2 linked regions of the Astyanax mexicanus genome follow. The protein of the gene in region 1 binds, or shares a complex with, the protein of each later gene. Links are inferred from orthologs where the notes say so. Each region holds a gene or a part of one and is shown in the gene's direction. Other genes may lie near its edges.

What was found. Proteins that work in one complex are often made in the same cells at the same time.
Region 2: surfeit locus protein 1 (region 1) and cmc1 share a complex: the UniProt entries of both Homo sapiens proteins name them as parts of the MITRAC (mitochondrial translation regulation assembly intermediate of cytochrome c oxidase complex) complex. The link is inferred for Astyanax mexicanus from reciprocal best matches to the Homo sapiens genes SURF1 and CMC1.

The regions. Positions count from the first base shown.
Region 1 is NC_064408.1:16,897,133-16,907,857, reverse strand, and holds the start of surfeit locus protein 1, read left to right. Parts: upstream 1-6,641; 5' UTR 6,642-6,768; coding exon 6,769-6,831; intron 6,832-8,434; coding exon 8,435-8,504; intron 8,505-8,961; coding exon 8,962-9,089; intron 9,090-9,180; coding exon 9,181-9,263; intron 9,264-9,482; coding exon 9,483-9,674; intron 9,675-10,725. Other genes in the region: surf6 (surfeit locus protein 6), read right to left, coding at 3,036-3,749, 4,269-4,351, 4,450-4,677, 6,056-6,152. UniProt on the Homo sapiens protein: Component of the MITRAC (mitochondrial translation regulation assembly intermediate of cytochrome c oxidase complex) complex, that regulates cytochrome c oxidase assembly.
Region 2 is NC_064408.1:130,760,126-130,771,061, forward strand, and holds the start of cmc1 (COX assembly mitochondrial protein homolog), read left to right. Parts: upstream 1-6,138; 5' UTR 6,139-6,262; coding exon 6,263-6,281; intron 6,282-7,768; coding exon 7,769-7,861; intron 7,862-10,936. UniProt on the Homo sapiens protein: Component of the MITRAC (mitochondrial translation regulation assembly intermediate of cytochrome c oxidase complex) complex, that regulates cytochrome c oxidase assembly.

The DNA.
Region 1 (10,725 bases):
CAGAATGAGAGCAGCAAGGTCTTCTTATAAGAACAGCTTGATCTCTTGATTTACTCAATGATAAGGAGCTTTATCAAACCCAGTGACAGTGCCGAACATATACCACTCTGGCTTTAGTAATAATGTGGATTTGGAATAATTCCTATCATTTTTATAATTATAACAAGTAACAATGCAGCACATAAAAATATATCAGAGTAAAATTCTTAAACTTATGGTAAATATGTAGTGAACTAAAAATGGAAGTAGGAGAAAAAATTATACTCCAGTAGATAAAATACAACATTTTAGTACTTCAGTACAGTAGTGAAGTAAAAATAATGCTCCAGTAGATACAGATACAGCATTTTAGTACTTAAGTACAGTAGTGAAGTAAAAATAATAATCCAGTAGATATAGATACAGCATTTTAGTACTTAAGTACAGTAATAGAGTAAAAATAATACTCAAGTAGATGCAGATACAGCATTTTACTACTTAAGCATGCTTAAAAGGCTTATAAAAAGAATTTAAAAGCTTTAAAAACAAATACTACAGTGTTAAAACACTGGACCTTGTTCTGTGTTCAAACAGTGAATACATGTTCTATTAATAAATTACTAAACAAGTATAAACTAATTTTGTTCAATTGCTCCATATGAACACATTCATTTTGAGCTTACTCAGGAACGCCCTCTGAAAGGTTCTTAAGTGGGTAATCTCCTCTCTAAAGGTTCTTTGCCATCGCAGTATTTGGATTTGGACGCAGATCTGCCTGTAGAGGCGGAGTAAACGTATCTATGCGGTAGAGCCAGAGCTGGTTTATGGAGAGCCCGTCCACTACTTAACCCTTGCCCTAATATCTATAACGACTAAAACCGCTGGAGGGAGCCCGCGAGTAAGTCCAAAATGAATGGGGGTGAAGGAGGCTAAAGGACTAAAACCTCAAATAAAATATAATATCCAACAGCCAATTATTAATTAATTGTTGGACAATAGAATAATGTATTTTGTAAAAAAAAAAAAAAAAAAAAGGCAAAGTAATCATATCTATATATTTCTACTTTTCTTCAGTAAAGGGATTTTAAGCTAGCATTACTAGTTACTGAGCTTACTGGTTGGTCAGGTTTATAAATGATGTCTTTGGTACTGACAGTCCTGTGTTGAGACACATTAGCACATTTGTTTGTATAAAATGATTAAACACTGCTGCATTCAGCGTTTCTTCACATCTCTAAACAGAAAGAATAAAATAATGCTTACTGAGCTTTATTCTGGAAGACAAAGGAGGCATCAGATTCTTTCCTCAGTTACTTAAATAAACTGGGGTTTTCAAAAAAAGTTCCTAGCACTAAGATGATTCTTAAACTTCACCCTAAGCACTATGTTAAGATGTTCTTAATGCCAAAATACTTTTGGGAAACTGGGCCCTGAAAATTAGAATATTATATAAGACCAAATGGAACTTTTGGCAGTGTGCCAAGTCCTGCTGGAAAATAAAATACATATCTCCATAAAAGTTGTCAGCAGTGGGAAGCATGAAGTGCTGTAAGATTTTCTGGGAAAACACTGTACTGACTTTAGACTTGATAATAAAACACAGTGAACCAACACCAGCAGATGACATGTCGCTCCAAACCATCACTGATCATCAGTAAATTTAGCATAATTAATTAGCATTAATTTGTAAATCAAGAGCCCAGAGGCTGGAGGAAGAATGGAGAGACACACAGTCTAAGCTGCTTGAGGTCTAGTGTGAAGTTTCCACCAATCAGTGATGGTTTGGAGAGGTCATCTGCTAGGGTTGGCCCACTGTGTTATATCAAGTCTAAAGTCAGTGCAGTGTTTTCCCAGAAAATCTTACAGCACTTTATGATTTCCTCTGCTGACAACTTCTATGGAGATGCGGATTTCATTTTCCAGCAGGATTTGGCACACTGCCAAAAGTACCAATTGGTCTTACATAATATTTTAATTTTCTGTAAGCCATGATTAACAATAAAAGAAATAAATGCTTAAAATAGATCACTTTGTGTGTAATACAACTATATAATATGTTTCACATTTAGAACTGAATTACTAAAATAAAGTAAAAATGTTTTTTAGATGCACCCGTAAATGTTTTACTTATCCTTACAAAACAAAAAGATATCACTGTCTGTGGAAGAAGTCATTTTTAGATTCATATTCAAGATTAAAAAAATGATAAACTTGCAATATAATTAGTATTATAAAAACAATGTATTGTATAGTACATTAAAAAATACAAATACTTTCAGAATACACAACAGCAATTCTTTCTTTAAAAGAGTCCATGAAATATCTTATACAAAAGTGTCTATTCCCACCTATGAGAATAACATTTTAATCAGGCTAATAGCCATTTAAACATTTTAAATGGTTTAATTTGAGCCGACACTGTAATGTATATAATATTAAGTTTACTAAAATGTCCTGTTGATTTTAGATAGAGTGAACAAGAATTACATACAACATGAAATGTACTGTAAACTTTGTACATTCAGCACTTCATTATACATTTACCATTGTGCTCTAAATTAAGCAAATAAACAGCAGCTGTGCAATAAATAGGGCAAACGGGTTTTCCATTATTTACTTTACTGCATTTAATTGTACAGAGACATAGCACACCTTAGTAAAAGTATAGACCAATTTATTTTCAACACTACACACCTTTTGTATATCCTACAAATAGCCTATGTTGTAGTTGGACATGCACCTCCCAAGAAACAGCAGAATACAGCAATTGTAATTGCTCAGCTGAACATTGTAGAGTGTTGCAGACAGACCTATGCACATGTATAAACGCTCACAACTACACAGTAGACTCTGTGCTAACTTGCAGAAGACAGAAGTATAAATCAATCATTAGAAGTTAAGATTCCTGAACTGTTTGGAACCATTTGTACTGTTCTGTTCAAGTCACCATCACCGTTCTGATTCATGCTCTTTATAGTTTTATCCTTTTCTAAGTACGCTCCTGAATTTATTCAATCTCTGTCCATACGTGTCCAATTTCTCCATTATATCAATCTCTACAGAGCAGCCTTTTTCAGATCCTGAGGCAGCACTCTGCCCTTCTTCCTGGCTCTCTGTTGCCGCTTCTCCATTTTATTGTCTTTGCGTTTCTGAATGTTCCTGCGTCTCTTGTCCTGTCTCTGCTGCATCTTCTCCAGCACATTCTCGCTCCTCTCCACCCACTTTTTCTTCCTCTGGGTCTTCATCTTCTCTTTCCTCTTCAGCGAAGCCCGTAGAAGCTGTTCATCATCTTTGATCTTCATCCCCTCAGCCTTGTAGAGAACGTTGGTCCACTTCATCTTCTCTTCTTCCTTCTTTGCTTTCCCTTCATCCTTCTCCCGCAGCTCCTCCAGACGGGCCTTCCTGGCCTCTACTCGGGTTAACAGCTGTTTGTAGTTCTTCCCTATGAGGGGAGTGAGGGTTCCTTTCACTTTCCTTTTCTTCTTCTTCTCCCTCATCTTGGTCCCTTTATCCACATAATCATCCTCAACCTCCACCTTGTTGAAGACCAAGGTGCTTGTGTCCTTCTTGTCAGATTTGGATTCAGCAGGTTCAGACTGAGGTGTGGTTATCTCCACCGGTTCGCTTTCCTCTTTTATCTCAGTGGTAGAACTCTGCGCCAACGCTTTCATACGGAACTCTTTCCTTTTCCGCTTTTTGCGCTCTCTCTCCTGTTTCCGTTTCGCTCGTCTTTTCTGCACCTCTTCTGAGGAAGGGTCCTTGGGTGGACCCTAAAGTGAGAAAATAAGAGACTTAAGAGGCTTACAATAAGCAAAAGATACAAGTTATTTATACCAGAGTACTGGAAAATTAGGGGTGTAAGAAATCCCAGTATTTTGCATTTCTATACAGTATAAATGCTCAAAACAACAGAATTTCTTCATCATTAATTAATGTAAAGAATGGAGGCAGACATTGGTTCATTTAGTGTTGTGCTTAAACCCTGCCTACTTGACAGCTGTGTTGTAGTCTGTTTTGATTGAGCAAAAAGTAAACTTTACTTTACTAAAGATAATTGAAAGCTGTTCACACTCATGATCTGCTCATATTTGGGCTGATGACATAAAAAAATGTGTAAACGCACAGCTTGTGCTTACAATCATTAATAAAACATTTCCTAATTCTGCATATTAAATCCTCTTTAATAAGGTAAATTCTAATCTGTTTGAAAAAACTAACAAAGTGAGTTTAAGCAAAACATCATCATGTCCTACAAATTCATTAGGGGGTTTGTGTGTTTATTTTGGTACCTGCCCACGAGACTCCTCAATCTTCTGATGAAGTCTTTTCCTTAAAATATCCACTGCATTAAACTCGCCTTCTGATTTTGTGCCTTGAGGAATTAAAGAAAATGTGTTAATAAAGATACTGGAATTCTGTTATGCTTCAGAAATAATTCTGGATCAATTCAAATTCACACTTTTGACTTACCATGTGTCTTCTTCTGGGCTTGATTCCCATTCTGAACTCTGGCCTGAGGAGCTTTCTGTTCTGTGATGGGCTGTTTCTGTGCTGCTTTTTGGATGGTCTTTGGGGCTGGCTTTTTATCATTTGTGTTTACATTATTTCCTTTGATCTGCTTCTGTTTCTTCTTTTGTTTCTTCTTAGGTGGCCCACTGTCACCATCTTCGTCACCACCACTACGAGCACGAAATGGAACTGAAAATAAATAACAGAGGAATGAATAATAAATTAATAATGAATAATTAATAACAGCTGGAAAATAAAGCTTGACTCTTAATTCACTTAACTGTTCTAATTTTTTTTCGTTAAATATACTCAAGAAACAACAACTGCAGACAACCTGAATGCTGTGCATTCTTCCCTTCTGTTCTACAGAAATAAAGCCAAAATTGCCTGTCTTTGCAACCAGGGTGCATTAGAAAGCAGTTAGAGAGAGCAAAGTTAGAGTCAGACCATTTTTTTCAATGGCTACCCAGTTTGTTACAAAAATGTTTTAACAGAATAAGGTATTTTTGACTTCAGCTACGACTTTAGACAGATCTCTTCCAGACAAGAATGCCAAACATTTTATTTCTTAATGTATAACCCTGTCTTCTTACAATATAGCAGGACAGTTGAGATGGAAAAACATTATAGAGGAGAAAAATTGACAACTGCCTTCTTACCACAACCAGTCTAACCTTGTTTTCTAGTCACTGTTGGAACTACATGTAAATGTTTGTTGTTACCTTGAGAGATCAAAGTTCTAAAACACTAACGTATGTATATCACAGTCAATCAAGCAAATTACATTGTGTTACAATGTCCTATTTAATAGACCAACAACATTCTTCAAAATAATTAGTAATGTTTTTTTTATATTTACTTCCATTGAATGTTAAGATTTTGAAGGTGCATGGTTTGCATAACAGTAATGATAAATTTAACAACAGCTTAATATTGCTATTAGAGATAATTATAAGTATTTTGATAGAAGCTGGATAAGTCATTTTTAAGACATTTCTTCTTAAGAATGGCTGGTGAATGAGATATGTGGAAAAAAAGATGGGAAGTCCAAAATATTTAGGTTTATGAACTTACTAATTATATAAACTAATTAAAAACAGATCATGAATCTGCATGATCAAGCTCTAAAATGTACATTTGCGGCATTTAGCTGATGCTTTTATCCAGAGCGACTTACAAGGTTATTCCTATTACAGAGGTGGGCCAATGCAGAAGTTAGGAGTCTTGTTCCAGACTCTTATTGGTGTAGAACAGCATTTAGTCACCCAGACTGGGAATTGAACCCCAGTCTCCCAGACAATGTGGTAGGTAGCTTACTGGAAGTTAGTGGTATTATGCACTGCACTGCACTAACCACTTATGACAGCCAGTGTAGCCAGTGTATGACTGCCCATAAAGCCCATAGTTCTTTAGGAAACAAAAAGGTGATTTTTCTATGGCAGTGTGTTTCCCTGCTTCCTACTAGTGATTTAAAGCAGGCACAACACACAAATATGCAGAGCTGTGAATTTTTAGAGTATATATATGACCACATACCACATACTGCAAAACAAGAATAGAAGCGTACCATAGGGTCTCTGTCTGGTCTGTTCGGTCTGGGAATGGCACACTTTTCGAGTCAGCTTCTCCAGGTAGTCGTACTTGGCTGCAAGGCTTGAGGACATCTTTGCAGCAACTGGACAAAATACACAACACAATCATGCAATCAGCCACGTGTGATCACACTTAGCTAGGTTAACATTACACGTTGAAAACAGATGACTGTATAATATTTCTTAAACACAGAGACCCTACAAAGTAAGAGCAGAGCGTTGGATTAATGTTTATTTAAGTTACTAAGATCAACTTACCTTCCACAAAGCCAAGCTCAGCTAGGTTAACTATCCCACAATATCCCACAGCAGTTACTGGCAGCTATTAAACTAGTTTCTCACTGAGGGAATAATTAGAAAGGATTTGCCACACATTTCCTCTTCTACTTCTCCTTCTTCTTTCACTCAAACGGTCGGAATTCTTAATCTGCGCTCGATCTGAACATTAAAAACAGCGTTTCTGCAACAACAACTGCTCTAACTCAACAGCTCCTCCTGCCCATGTGTTTCACACCGCGCATGCGCAACCGCACACGCCTGTCTCCGGATGGTGTTACAGTGAAACTCGTCCCCTCGCCTGCCGCTCTGTGGAGAACATGTTATGCAGGCGGTTTGACCTGTTTACTACTGACACCAAACAGATAGATATAATCCAGCATAACTCTCAGTTTAGACATTTCTCCTGAACATGAGTGGCCTTAAATACATGCTCATGTTCTGTAGTCACGCTCGCAGGATCATCCGGATTAATGTAAGTTTCTGTTTCACATTTATAAACATTATTTACTGATAATAAAACACTATTCCAGTTTAAAGACAGAGAGGCTGAAGTTTTTTTCTTATTCGCTGCTAACGTTACTACCGCTTCACTGAATTAAAGGGAACATGCACATATATTATTTAAAAGTCTAATACACTATTACTGAAGGAGATAACTAACTAATGAAGGAAAGCAGAATATCTGTTTACTAACATTGTAAATATACAACATGTCATTCAATTTAATCTTCTATACTATATGTTCCATCACTTATTCATTCCAAATAAATTTGCAATTCTAGTGTAATTAATTAATTTCCTACTACTTTAAGGAAAAGCCTGGCCAAGCAGACCAGAATAGGATGAAGCTGAAAAAAAGATGTGCAAATGATGTGGGGTTCAATTGCTGCAGTTGGTCTGCAGGTCTAGGTTCAGCAACAGTATGTGCTGAAAGAATAAGGCCAGCTGACTACCTGAATATACTGAATATAGACCAGGTTATTCCATCAATGTTTTTTTTCTTTCCTGATGACACGAGCATATTCCAAGATGAAAATGTCAGGATTCATGGGCTGGAATTGTGAAAGAGTGATTCAGGGAGCATGAGATCATCATTTTCACACATGGATTGTTCACCACAGAGTCCTTTTTTTAGTGACAACTTTTTTTTGGCCAGGCAGCGTATAATAATAATAATTATTATAAAGCTAGTTACCACTGGTGTAAGAACAGAGGGATAGAGGGATGTGAAAAATTATACCGCAGGAAAAGCACAAACTAGCTCTGGCTTGTGTTGAGATTCTGTTCAGAAATATCCTGCAGTCAGCAGTTGTTGGACAGTCTCGTTAGTTTGTGCAGGTGCTGAGTTTAGAATACCAGAAAATACTTTAATACAGTTATGCTGCTTATTGTAAATCATTTCAATAAATCATTAATGTAAATCATTTAGGCACTGAAAGTACAGTACCAGTCAAAAGCTTGGACACACCTTCTGATTCAATGTTTTCTACACTGTTGTGAACAAAAGAAGTGTTTGTCCTTCACAATCCCCTGACCTAAACCCAACTGAGCTGGAGCTTTACAGTTTGAAGGAAAAGCAGCAACTATTGTTCAGAACCAACAGAAACTCCTTCAAGATGCAGAGAAAACTGTGTGCGCAGATCTGTCCTCAAGCTGAATATGTCTACTTAGAATCGAAGAAGTATAAAACATACCCTGGTTTATTTAACACTTTTTGTTTACAAGACAATTCCATGTGTTCCTGTATAGCTTTAATGTCTTCAATATTAAATTTACAATGTAAATAAAATTATAAAATGAAAGAAAACACATCAAATGAGAAGAGGTTTGTCCACATTTTTGACTGGTACTGTATTTGTTTTATTTAGGTTTATATTGCAATCAAAAATTTAAAATGAATAAGAGTTAATTTTAGAAAATGTATTGTTTACTAGCCTGTGGGATTTGAAGACAAAGGCCAGTTAATATTGGAATCAGAATATTGCTTGCAATAATTGTTCTTCACTCATTTTAGTCAGTGTATATTATTTGCTTTTGTCAGTATTTGTAAATCAGATTGTTTTGTCTTTTTCTAGACTCAGACTGTCATTTCCAAGAGAAATATTTTCGATAAATCAAGGCAAGTCTTGCTCAAACGTGAGAATGGTAAGAATATTGTTTTATATATTATGTTTTATGAATTATTAATCTCTTGTCCTATTACTTGTAGATTTCTCTACAAACTGCTTTGTGAGCAGTTGCAAAAAGTTACTATGCAAATAAACTTCACTTGATTTGATATTGATATTATGTGCTAAAATATTTATACTCTTTGTTATGATTCTGCTGCTTCTTTTGACAAGTGTGCCATGTCTGCTAAATTAAGGTGGACAGCTTATAATTACACTTAATGTTTAAAAGCAATGAGACAATACTTCTGATTGACAGGATGAGTAGTGTATTTTACAGCATCCATATACTTGGTTTAATGCTTTTTTGTTTTGTAGTAAATGCATTTACTACTAGAGAAGAATCACCAGTGTTTCAACACATACTAAAGATTAACTGTAATATTCATGAACACTGCAGTAGCTGTCTGTTCATCTTCTGTTGGGTTTCACAGTTAAACCTGTTAACGTGAGTAGACAGACCAGTGTGGATGCGGCACAGGCAGAAAAGAGTGAGGATTCCTTGCTGAAATGGCTGCTGCTGCTGATCCCTGTGACCACCTTCGGCCTGGGAACATGGCAGGTACGCTCAGCTGCTGTTTACCATGATTAAAATGGTGGTTGCTCAGATATTTAAACTGCATTTTTGAATGTGTATTTATGTATATTTGTAGGTGAAGCGCAGGCAGTGGAAGTTGAAGTTGATTGAAGATCTCCAGAAATTAACGACAGCAGATCCGATTCCACTGCCCACGGAGTGAGTGTCCTCTTTGGCCCATGCCATACTATAGGTGTAGACAATGTAGTTGGAGAGTCAGTCACTTAGTAATAGTGCATACATTTTTTGGTACAAAGAAAGTCACATAAAAAATGATTACCTATTTTAGAATAGTCCCAGAGTGGCAGTGATGACGGATATTTGATTGTATTATTAATGTATTGATGTAGCCTGTGTTTGTTTGTGATCATGTGACAGTCCTATGGAGCTAAAGGATCTGGAGTACAGGCGTGTGAAGGTGCGTGGCAGGTTTGATCACTCTCAAGAGCTGTACATCCTGCCCCGTTCTCCAGTGGACCCTGAGAGAGAGGCCCGCGAGGCAGGAAGGCTGTCCTCCAGTGGAGAGACTGGAGCTAACGTCATCACACCTTTCAACTGCACAGACCTTGGGTGTGTACAAACACACAGACATACAGCATAAACCTGTATTGACATTTTTGCCTTAAATACATACATTTACAAGTAACACAAGTAACCCCACTAATAAACCAACATGCACAAGATTTTAAAGTCTTTGCCAGCAGTTTCAACCTAAATGTTAGCATATAGCGAGTTTAGCACAGACAGTACTTATAGGAGAAATCATAGTATTGTGCAAGTACCCAGTGATGTCTATTATAAGCAGTGATGTTAATAACCTGTTACTGTAATCTGACCATTTGTTTCAGTAACGAGTAATCTAACGCTTTGCTATTTCTTATCAGGTAATAGGATTAAAGTTACGTACCCAAGTCACTGTGCGCTACGTTTTTGTCATTTTCCTTAGTAAAAAGATATTGTAGCATCTGGCTGAATGTGTTAAAAGGATGGACGAGAAAGATTTGCAGTCGACGTTCATTGCTGGAACTAACAAAAGGCTAGCGATCTAACAAGCTAACAGGCTAAAACTAGCCCTAGTGCTGAACACAGTGTGCGCAGTGGGCGGTGTTGCCGCCGTTCTACTTCAGTTGTTCACCGACGTGTGTTTCAGAACTTTCGAATCAGACAGTTCTTCACACTCTGGCTGAAACTCCACCCTCTTTGACTAGGTCTGCCTAGCAAAAACAACAGAGCAACCTATATTCTGATTGGCTCAACAAGAGTACATTATAATATACTGGATGGATTGGCAAGCGTGAGAAATACCATGTGTGGCGTATGAGCGTGTGAACTCGCTGAGGTGCGTGTGTCACACGCTCAAAGCGCGAGACTTGAGAACACTGCTAACTGAAGTGAGGAGAGAGTTGCACGTTTTGTAGCTGGAAATACAAACACTATTCTGAGTTTATATCAGCTAAAATGAATCAATATCAAGCTTGGTTGTTCACTCTGTGCTACCTAGCTTCAAAAACACGTCAAATTTGATTAAACATTTGAAGTCGCAGCAGCACACTTACAGAAAAAGTCCCAAAGGTGGAGCAAAACGAGTTTTGGCAAAACTGATATGTTGAGGCGGCAGGGC
Region 2 (10,936 bases), about 110 Mb from region 1:
CAACTGTGCTCTCTCAGGGCTCCGGCAGCTGATGGCAAGCTGCATGAACAAGATTCGAATGACGATCTCCCAATCGCTCGAAGACCCTTCAAAAAAACATTCCATGGGAAGATGATCTTATGCTCCCTGAACCCTCCCCATGAATCCAGACATTGTTCTCCTGGAATATTCGCGTTCCATCAGATAAGATCCATAGGCTTGTATGATAGGACTAGGCATGATGGGTAACCCTGAGACAACTCCTTCACTCTGGATCAGGGTAAATCTGCACTCCCCACAGAGTATTAGCTTGGTTCCGTCCGTCATTACCCTCTGATACTGCTCTGCTCTGTTCTTAACATGGAAATCATGGAAAAATAATGGAAAAAACACATGGAAAATCTTCTTTACTAATGTAATGAAGGTTTGGTCACACTTAAATAATAATAATAATAATAATAATAATAATAAAAATAATGTTTTATTAATAAATTGCCTTTACTGAAAACTCAAAGCCCATAGCAAGCACAATAATAGCGCAGGTAAAAAAAAATGACATATCAGCATAAAATAAGAAAATATTTAAGAATATGGGAGAGAAAAGAAGAGTCTCTTTGATTTTACCAAATTAAAAACCTCTGGAATATAATCAAGAGGAAGATGGATGATCAAACCATCAAACCACCAAACTGAACTGCTTGAATTTCTGCACCAGGAGTAAAGCAGCATAAAGTTATCCAAAAGCAGTGTGTAAGACTGGTGGAGGAGAACAAGATGCCAAGATGCATAAAAAAAACTGTGATTAAAAACCAACCAGGATTATTCCCCCAAATATTGATTATTTCTGAACTCTTAAAACTTTATGAATATGAACTTGTTTTCTTTGCATTATTTGAGATCTGAAAGCTCTGCATCTTTTTTGTTATTTCAGTCATTTCTCATTTTCTGTAAATAAATGCTCTAAATGAGAATATTTTTATTTGGAATTTGGGAGAAATGTTGTCTGTAGTTTATAGAATAAAACAACAATGTTCATTTTACTCAAACATAAACCTATAAATAGCAAAATCAGAGAAACTGATTCAGAAACTGTAATTAGGTAGTAATTGTAAATAGTTTTTAACCTGTAAAAACCTGTATAACTGTAATTACTCTGTAACAAAGGCAACAATGTAACTTCACGGGTAGTTACACTGTTATTATGGATTATTATGGATCGTTAATGCGTGACTACATAGAGTTACTGGAGATACTGACTGTACAGTGGGTTTACACCCAGTTTTACAATTTATTTAGGTTTGATTAGATCTGATGTGAGTGTGAACAGGTGTGAGTGAGTGGGTGTGCACGGTGGTGGCGAACGTGAGCGTGCGGCTGCAGGTTTGTTCTCATGAATTAATAAAGCGCGTGAGCGGCCGATCAAACGCTTCAGCAGAATCCTTATAGGGTTTAATGGAAGATGGGAGTGCCATCTGTGTGCCGCCCGGGCCGGAGCCAGGGCACCGTCTTTAGCATGTGGCGTGAGGGGGACGAGGGGCGGGGTCTGCCGGACAGTTGGGCGGTCGGCGGTTGGCCGGGGCGCTGAGCCGTGCTGTAAAAGGGTTTAACTTTGCTAACCTTCACCGTGCCAGCCTGCCGGCACCTGCTGGCACCTGCCGGACCCTGCTGGCACCTGCCGGACCCCGCCGGAGCGGGATATTGCGCCGGGGAGATGTTGGCAGGCTTTGACGAGTCGCCGATGTGATGTTATTAGATTCTCCGGTGCACTCTGACCCCCCCTGCTGGCAGGGAGGATCAGGCGGTAAATGAAGGTGAAGGTGAGTGTGTGTGGGCAGGTGTGGCAGACCCTCACCTGCCGGGAGGGACTTGACTTTTGTCGGAACCCTCCGGATGGTCAGAGGCTCCAGCTGAGACCTAATTAACCTCAAGAGGACGGGCAAAACCGAAGCGTCCCCGATTTTCCATCATCATGTTCCTGAAGCAGTGCGCATTAGTACAAGTTTACAATTTAATATACAATTAAATACAGTATAATTGTTATTACAATATATTGTACTCAATTATATAAATAAAGACTTCTTAAAGATTTCTTGTGCAGTTAACTCATAATCTGTTTTCAATATCTGTTGACGGTAGGACTGCAACTAATGATTATTATTAGTAGTCGACTAATCTGACGATTCTTTTTTTGTTTCGATTAGTAGATTAGTCAACAATTATTTCTATAGAAAAAGCAGAACATGAGATTTAAATAGCATTAAATACCTGAATGTTGTTTAAATGTGGAAAGTACTGATATTTAGTGATTAAATATGTAATCTCCCATTTATCTCCCATTGCGCTTCTGTCCCCAGCACTTTGTGTAATGCAGTATTTTTGCAAATTAACGATTAGTCGACAATTAAATTTATACCTAAATAAAATACCTTTATATGGGTCAATGTAATGTAATGTAATTCTTCAAGTAGTTGACACTCAGAACTCAGAAAGTTTATCACAAACCGTTGCATGGATTTGTTCTTTTTTTGCTGGCCCTTTTGTATTTCAGTGTTTAATGGAATATATTTAGTCAGCTTAGGGTTAGTCAGGAAAGTGAGTTGAAACAACCTTTCCACTTCCATGTTTTATATGTCACTACAACTCAGTAAAACAATAAATGACTATAAAAATCCTACCAAATTCAAATAACTTATTTATTTAAGTATTGGCCAAAGGCCCTCACAATTACTTTTTAGAGACATGTAAAAGAAATAATAATTTAATATACCACTTCGTTGGTATTGAATGTTGAATGTAGCTTTGACTCCTAAAAGAAAAACTCCTCAAATCATTTTATGTCCCTATATTGTATTGGATGGACACATGTGGGCACATTCTATTTAAAAAAGAACATTATAAAAATGAAAGGGAAGTAAGGTGTAATAACCATGCCATAGAAGGTTAAGATGCATCTGCAGGAAGAATGGAACAAAATGACACCTGGACCTCGTCATCACGTTGTATTTTAACTCTGTGGAACTTTTATTTGATTGTGTATTTTATTGAAGGTGATGCGGTGTAGAGATTGGCGTGAGAGGACAGGGCTTCAGGCTGGTGAAGATGGTGAAGATAGTGAAGATGACACTTCAAAGGGTTTATTTAACAAACAGGAGGAGGAGTAACCGCAGGCCGGCCGCAGCTCCTCGGGGTGGAACGTTCCGGCGCTCTTTCCACTGCGGTGGTGAGCTCTCGCACGGCTCTCGCGCAGACTCGTGGTCGGGTTTGAAGTGAAGCTGTGGTCGGGACTGTCTTGAGTTGGGTAGACTGAGTGTAGCAGGTGCAGAGAGCAGCTGCCTGAACCGTTTCCAACACCAGAACATGCTCAGCGGTACCCCCCAAAAACACCAGGTATACCGGTAAAACTCTACTGAGTACTGAGTACTGAGTACTGAAACCGAGGTTTAATCCCAATTTTATAACTGATTTTAACCCAATTTCCAGTCAGTCTGCTTCCAGATATCAAAAACCACTCTTAATCGTTCCCATGTTCATCCTAAGACGTTTGAGCCAGCACCCCGGTTGCTGAGTGTAATAAGGCAATAGACCCGAGATGCACATGCCAACACCCCGGTTGCAGAGTATACTGTAGTATAGTAAACTCCAGCATGCTAAGTATAATACAAAAAACATCCCAAGATATTTGAGCCAACACCCCGGTTACCGTGCGTAATAAGACAATTGGACCCCGGTTGTTGAGTGTAAAATAGGAATCTGTCCGAGTCGTTTGAGCCAACACCTCGATTGCCAAGTGTAAAAAGAGAATTGGCTCGAGTCGCATGTGTCAACACCCCGGTTGCTGAGTATAATGTGGCAATCAGCACATCTGTTAGTCCCAACAACCTGATTGATGAGTATAATATAGGAATCTGCCCAAGATGTTTGAGCCAACACTCAAGTGTAAAAAGATAATTGGCCCGATCACATGTTTCACCACCCTGCTTGATGGGTAAAATATGGCAATTGTCCCAATCCACCGCCCCGGGTGCTGAGTATAATATAGAAATCTGCCCAAGACGTTTATTCAAACACTCTAGTTGCTGAGTATAATATTACAATTGTCCCAAGTCGTCTGTGCCAACACCCAGATTGCCGAGTATAATATAATAATCTGCCCAAGCCATTTGTACTAACATCCTGGTTGCTGAGTATAACATGAATCGACCTGAGTTGCATGTGCGAACACCCTGAATGCTGACTATAATATAGCACTCATCCCAAGTCGCATGTGTCAACACCCCAGTTGCTGAGTATAATATGGCAATTGTCCCTTGATGTTTGTGACAACACTCCAGCTTGCTGAGTGTAATATAGAAATCTGCCCAAGCCTTTTGTACCATAGACTGTGTATAGCTGAACAGAGCATTGTCTCTCAAAAGTGAAGCCACCACAGGTCGGGCGCCCCCTGCTGTTCGGTTGCAGAAAGCTTTTTAACCCCTTTTTTTCAAATATACTGTAATTCTACCTCCATTATTTAAATCTAACAGCTAGTGTAAGCTCTGCTTATATCGCCAAATGTATATATCCCCACAGAATTCGTTTTTTAAATGTTATTCAGCTCAATTCAAAAAGGTGTGGTTATTGTAAAAGGGCTGGTTATGGGCGGGACCAATAACAGATCGTCAGCTCCGCTCCGCTCTGCAGCCTGTGACCTCGAGGCAGCCCTCAGGGGCGGAGTTATTCAAATGAGTAGGCTGTCTCTACACAGTCTTTCTCCCTCCTCTGGACTCTACTGTGCAGTCTCGGGTATGGCAACATGGCGGAAGATTTTGGCTTCGTTTTCATTGAATGAACGGGAACGGCGACACAGCGTCCATCTTTTTTTACAGTCTCTGGTTTGTACAAACACCCTGGTTGCTGAATATAATATGGCAATCAGCCCAATATGTTTTTGCCAACACTCCAGTTGTGGAGTATAATATATGAATCGACCTGAGCAGTATGTGCCAACACCCTGGCTATTGGATAAAATATGGAAATCGGCCCAAACTGCTTGCATCAAAACACCAGTTGGCAAGTAAAATTTGGCCCAATTCTTCATGGCTAATACCAAGTCTCATCTGATGCTGCTTTACATCAGATAAGGCAGATCCTTTATGCTATCTGAACAGATTTCAGGACAGTTGGAGTTACTGTCTACCTTATTCAATATCTTATTATTTTTTATTAAATTATTTAAACAACCAGAACTGTAATTTAACTGTCTTCATGAATGTGCCTTAAGACATCCCAAGACTTGGTGATGGCTGAACAGGTTGTAAATAATTTATTATTTATTATTTTGTGCGGCAAACTGTGATTTTTAAAAAATATTTATTATGGTTGCGCTTTGCAAAGCAATGTTAATATCATAGCAACCCCTAGCAACCAACACAGATACCATAGCAACACCTCAGCAACCCCCTACCAACCACATAGCAAGGTCACAGCGACCGCCATAGATTTCATAGCAACAGCTTAGCAACCACCTGGCAACATAATTGCAACCCAAAAGAAACCACTTAGCAATGCTATAGCAACCACCACAGAAACCATGGCAACAGCTTAGTAACCACCTGGCAACACCTTAGCAAACACCTGGCAAACACTTAGCAATGCCAAAGCAACAACCACAGATACCATAGCAACTATTTAGCAACGCCATAGCAACCATCACAGATAGCATAGCAACCACATGGCAACACCTTAGCAACCACTCAGAAACGTCATACCATGACCTGGGATACCATAGCGACCAACTGTAGTCGTTTTAACTGGGCATCAATCCTGCATTTCAGTTCAGTCATTCTATTACTAATTCTCTTTAAGTAAATCAACATTTTCCCAGCTCTAAAAACATTTGTGCTGTAATTTAATATTTTTCAAAACATGAAAAATATATAATTTTCTAGTCACGAATTTTAGGGGTGACTTTTATTTTGAAAAAAAAAAACGCATTGCAAACGGTTATTCAATTCTATATTAATATGTGTATTTGATATACATGTACTATTTATTTCTCTAATAAATGATTATTTTTATGTAAACAAATATAATAATAATAATAATAATAATAATAATAATAATAATAATAATAATAATAATAATAAAGGACTTTTATGAAGGACTTTTATTGGTGGCACTGTGGGGGCGCGGCTTCGCTGGAGCAGCAGCAGCGGGGTCACATTAGCTCGCGGCTAAAGCTAAAGTCTGGTGTTTGTTGGTGTTTTTCTGATTTATTATCAGTTTTTAGTTTATTAACAGGCTCATGGACTCTTCTAAATCAGGTAAAAATCACCCGAGCTGCTTTTCTTCACAGCGCTGCTGAGAAAACAGGATATTTAGCGGGAAAATGAGCTGAAGTTAGTTAGCATTTCTGTACTTTAAGGGCAAAGTTGGGCTAAAAGAGCGAAAATCGCCTGAATTCGAGCTTAAAACACACAGTTTAAACATGAAACTGATATTAATAATCAGTTATTTCTGTCATAAAGACGAGTTTAACCTGTGTGTGCTGTTATAAAGCTAAATATCTCCTTATAAATCTTGTTGAGCTGTTATAACTCTCCGTTCCACCTTAAATAGTGCAGCAGTTACATACAGCGTGGCTGCAGCATTTAAGGTGGAACGGAGAGTTCAGCAGTGTTTAGACAACTTAGCTTTTATTATTATTATTAAAATAAATTAAAAATCATATTCTCCGTTTAAATGACAGTTTGGGGTCATTTTCAACCTAGAAAAGGGATTGTCAAAATATTGGAAACACCCCCACGTTCACTTGGTGTTTCTGTTATTTTGTCCACCCAAGTATTAAACGTACTGGTAATGTAGCCAATTACAATTACATTTCTTGAGTTAATTTTACTCATTTATTTTTTAAAGTAAAATTACAATATGGAAATATTGTTACGTTAAAGTTTTGGAGTTCATTTTAATAGAATTTCAAAAAATGGCTATTGTTTGAGTGTCTCGCATGGTGTTTCTGTTATATTGGCCGCACACCTCTAAAACATTTTTGTAAAAATGAAAAAAAGTCATATTAAAATGTCATTGGTTAATATAATTTTATTTGATTTTTAGTGTCAGATTTAAATTACATTCTCTTGCCAGTGTTTGAATTTCATTCTCATATTAATGAATGATAGATTTTTTAAAATAAGTCTCTGAGAACTTTATTATCAAATGTTAATCATATTATAATTCTATTTAGGTTAGTTTTATCAGAACTTAATTTGCAAAGTTGAATTTAATCTGCATTTTATTTGCAAAGTTTAATCAGATCCCTAGCAATATTACATCTATTGTTGAATTAAAGTTTCAGTTCTGAAGTTAATTTAATTTCAATTTCAGTTTCATTCTTAAAGTATTTTTTGTTAGAAATTCACTCTCACTCTTAAAATTACACCCACACAATCTGCCAAAGTGTTTGAGTTTCGTTCTTATGGTAATGTAGGATAAACTTTTATTTTTTAAGTAATTGTTTTTAGGTTTTATAATTAAAGGTAGGTCATATTAAAATTTCATTCAAAGTAAATGTTATCAGAATTTTATATTCAATGGATAATTTTAATAGAATTTCATTTTTAATTGTTAATTTCAGTAGAATTTTATATGCAATGGTTAATTTATTGCAAATTGGATTTGCAAAGGTAATTCTAGCAGAATTTCATGTGCAATGGTTTAATTTTACCAGAATTTTAGTTGCAGTGTTAATTTTTGAGCACTGCCATGTATGTTAATCAGTGCAGTTATTTAGTGGGCGGTTCTGTTTTCTCAGGTGAGCCTCACCTGAGGCACGTGGAGCTGGACGTGCTGATCCCGAAGATGATGAGGGAGAAGGCGAAGGTGCGATGTTCTGAAGTGGTGGAAGGTATGGAACCAAAACCTCACAGGATTAGAACCCAGAGATTCTAGAACATAGCGGACCCACCGGTGCTTACTACTGGAGTTTATAAATCCATCAGCAGCCGGAGTCTGAGAGAGAGAGAGAGAGCAGTAGATCATGGTGTTAATGTTAGTAGGTTTTATTGCTGAAATGAAACCTGATAACCAAAATTTTATAGCTTTTTAATTTTTTTTATTTGTGTATACTGTGTGTAGTGTGTGTGTCTATACTGTGTGTAGTGTGTGTGTGTGTTTATTCTGTGTGTAGTGTGTGTGTATACTATGTGTGTTGTGTGTGTGTAATAAACACACAGTGACATTTAGATCGGGATGTTCCAGAGTTCAGCGTTTCCTATAAACAGCTCAGTTTCAGCTCTGTGCTCCTCAGGATTCCGCCAGTCATCTCTGAACCCGTCACCCTGCCGCAGATACCATCGCTGACGTTCCCCGGCGCCGTGGCAACGCCGACCTTTAGCACCCCGACCCCGTGGAACACCCAGAAACCACGGCGCTGTGTCTGGAACTGTGTTACGCGACCTCTCGTGGAGAACTAGAGTAACTGTGCCGCAAAGTCTTCTTCTACAGCTCTGCTGTATTGTAGTCCGAACTTGTGTTCGTCCCGTTAGTTTTGGTTTCACACTGCAGTTTAGTGGTTGACACGCTGAAAAACTTTACTACCTCCTGTCAACATCACCTACGAATGTGGGCGGAGTCTCACTATACTCAGCACTGATTGGTTTGTAGAACGATCCAAGTGAATTCTGTCCCTCTACCAGAATGCGTCTCTCTTCGAGCACGGGTCACTGTCTTGTCGGAAGACCCATTACCTAGAATGCAAACCCATCTTTCTGACACTGTTATATACAGCTCTAAAAAACATTAAGAAACCACTTCAGTTTCTGAATCAGTTTCTCTGATTTTGCTATTTATAGGTTTATGTTTGAGTAAAATGAACATTGTTGTTTTATTCTATAAACTACAGACAACATTTCTCCCAAATTACAAATAAAAATATTCTCATTTAGAGCATTTATTTACAGAAAATGAGAAATGACTGAAATAACAAAAAAGATGCAGAACTTTCAGACCTCAAATAATGCAAAGAAAACAAGTTCATATTCATAAAGTTTTAAGAGTTCAGAAATAATCAATATTTGGTGGAATAACCCTGGTTGGTTTTTAATCACAGTTTTTTCATGCATCTTGGCATCATGTTCTCCTCCACCAGTCTTACACACTGCTTTTGGATAACTTTATGCTGCTTTACTCCTGGTGCAAAAATTCAAGCAGTTCAGTTTGGTGGTTTGATGGTTTGTGATCATCCATCTTCCTCTTGATTATATTCCAGAGGTTTTTAATTTGGTAAAATCAAGGAAAAACATCATATATATATATATATATATATGTGTGTGTGTGTGTGTGTGTGTGTAAAAAAAATAAAAGTTGTCACAAAGCAGCTTTACGGAGAAAAACAGGTCCACACCTCTTACTTGAGCTAGTTACTTATTACATCACTGAATTACAGCTGTCGGTTCAGCGCTAGCTAGGCTAACAGACTGCTGGTGTTAATGAAGATGGCTAACAGCTAACTAGCGATGCTAACTGTATTTCCTAGCTAAATGAATCACTGTTTTCTTAATCAATTATGTTGAAAACAGCCTTGGTTGAAATGTTATTATATCACAGTGGGGTTCCACGCTTCACTCGCTCTGATTGGTTTAGACAGGAAAACAATAAAGGTTTGCACTATTGAGAATTTAGGTCGCACATGCCACGGATGCACCCTGAGCCTGCAGGACGGGTTGAATTTGTTCGTAACTTGATTGGGGCTGTTTATAGACCACCCAGACTCTCTTACAGTGCATATTTTATCCAGGTTCAGGGTGGTTAGCTACAGTGCCGTGATTTGGTGCAGCGTTTAAGGTGGCCTCAGGCACCAGATTGAAATGGATGCAGCGTTTAAGGTGGACTGGACAGTTTCAATAAAGAGTCTGCAAATAATGAGCCAAAATGCTTTGGATTACTTTAAAGGAGAACTGTGTTGAATATCTCTCCTCCGCTCTCCTGCAGCTTTCTGACATCCAGTATTTTCTGCTCTTTACCCAAACAGGCTTTAGAATTGAATGAGTGATATGGGGCATATTTTACCCTGCAGATAAATCACTTTTTACACCGTTATTCAGCTCAAAGTAGCTCCACACTTCACTGGTAGAATCCAGAGAGTTTTGACATTTAAAACGAGGCATTAATAACTTAAAAACTGCACTAAAAGTTTATTAAAAACCTCTGTTTACATCCCATAATGTAAGTAAATGCCTGGGCGCAGAAATCTTATATTTGAGTCACAATAAGTCAACCTGTTGTTGCAGAAAATATTCATATGAAATGTCGATATTAAAATGCAAACGTTTTACTGTTCGTTCTGCTCGACGGATGAATTATTGTGATTTAACCCCTTCTATTTATGTTCGTTTGTCAGATCTAGCAGTGGTGTTTCTCATGTTAAAATATCCAAAAGATATCTGATCCATTACTAATTATTATCAATATATTTAATATGTAGTGCAATGCTGTTCCTACCCTCTAACAGGTAAAGGTTCAATAAGATTTTTTTTAATCGATTTTCATTAAAAAATACACGTTCAAACTTTTTTTTTTTAATATTTAACTTCTTTAACCAACATATAAAACAATAGTTTTACATAATATTGAAACCTAACATTGCAGTTTAGTTTTAGTTTTAGTTTTTGCAGGGAGTTTTGTAAAATATTTGAGATTAACCATTTTCATAATGTTTGTTGATTGCATTAATTAAGGCGAGCAGAAGACGTTTAATACTGAAAAAAATACTTTTAACTATATTTTTTTAATCTTCAAACTTCAAGACGGCTCAATTTGACCCGTTAAATAACAGGAGGGATAAATTTAAGATGGCGGCGCCGGAGATTGACCTGCGCTATGTGATGTAAAAAGTGTTTTTTAACCCTTGTGTGGTGTTCGGGTCTGTGGGACCCGTTTTCATTTTTCATCAAATGATACTAAAAAAAATATTTTTTCTAAC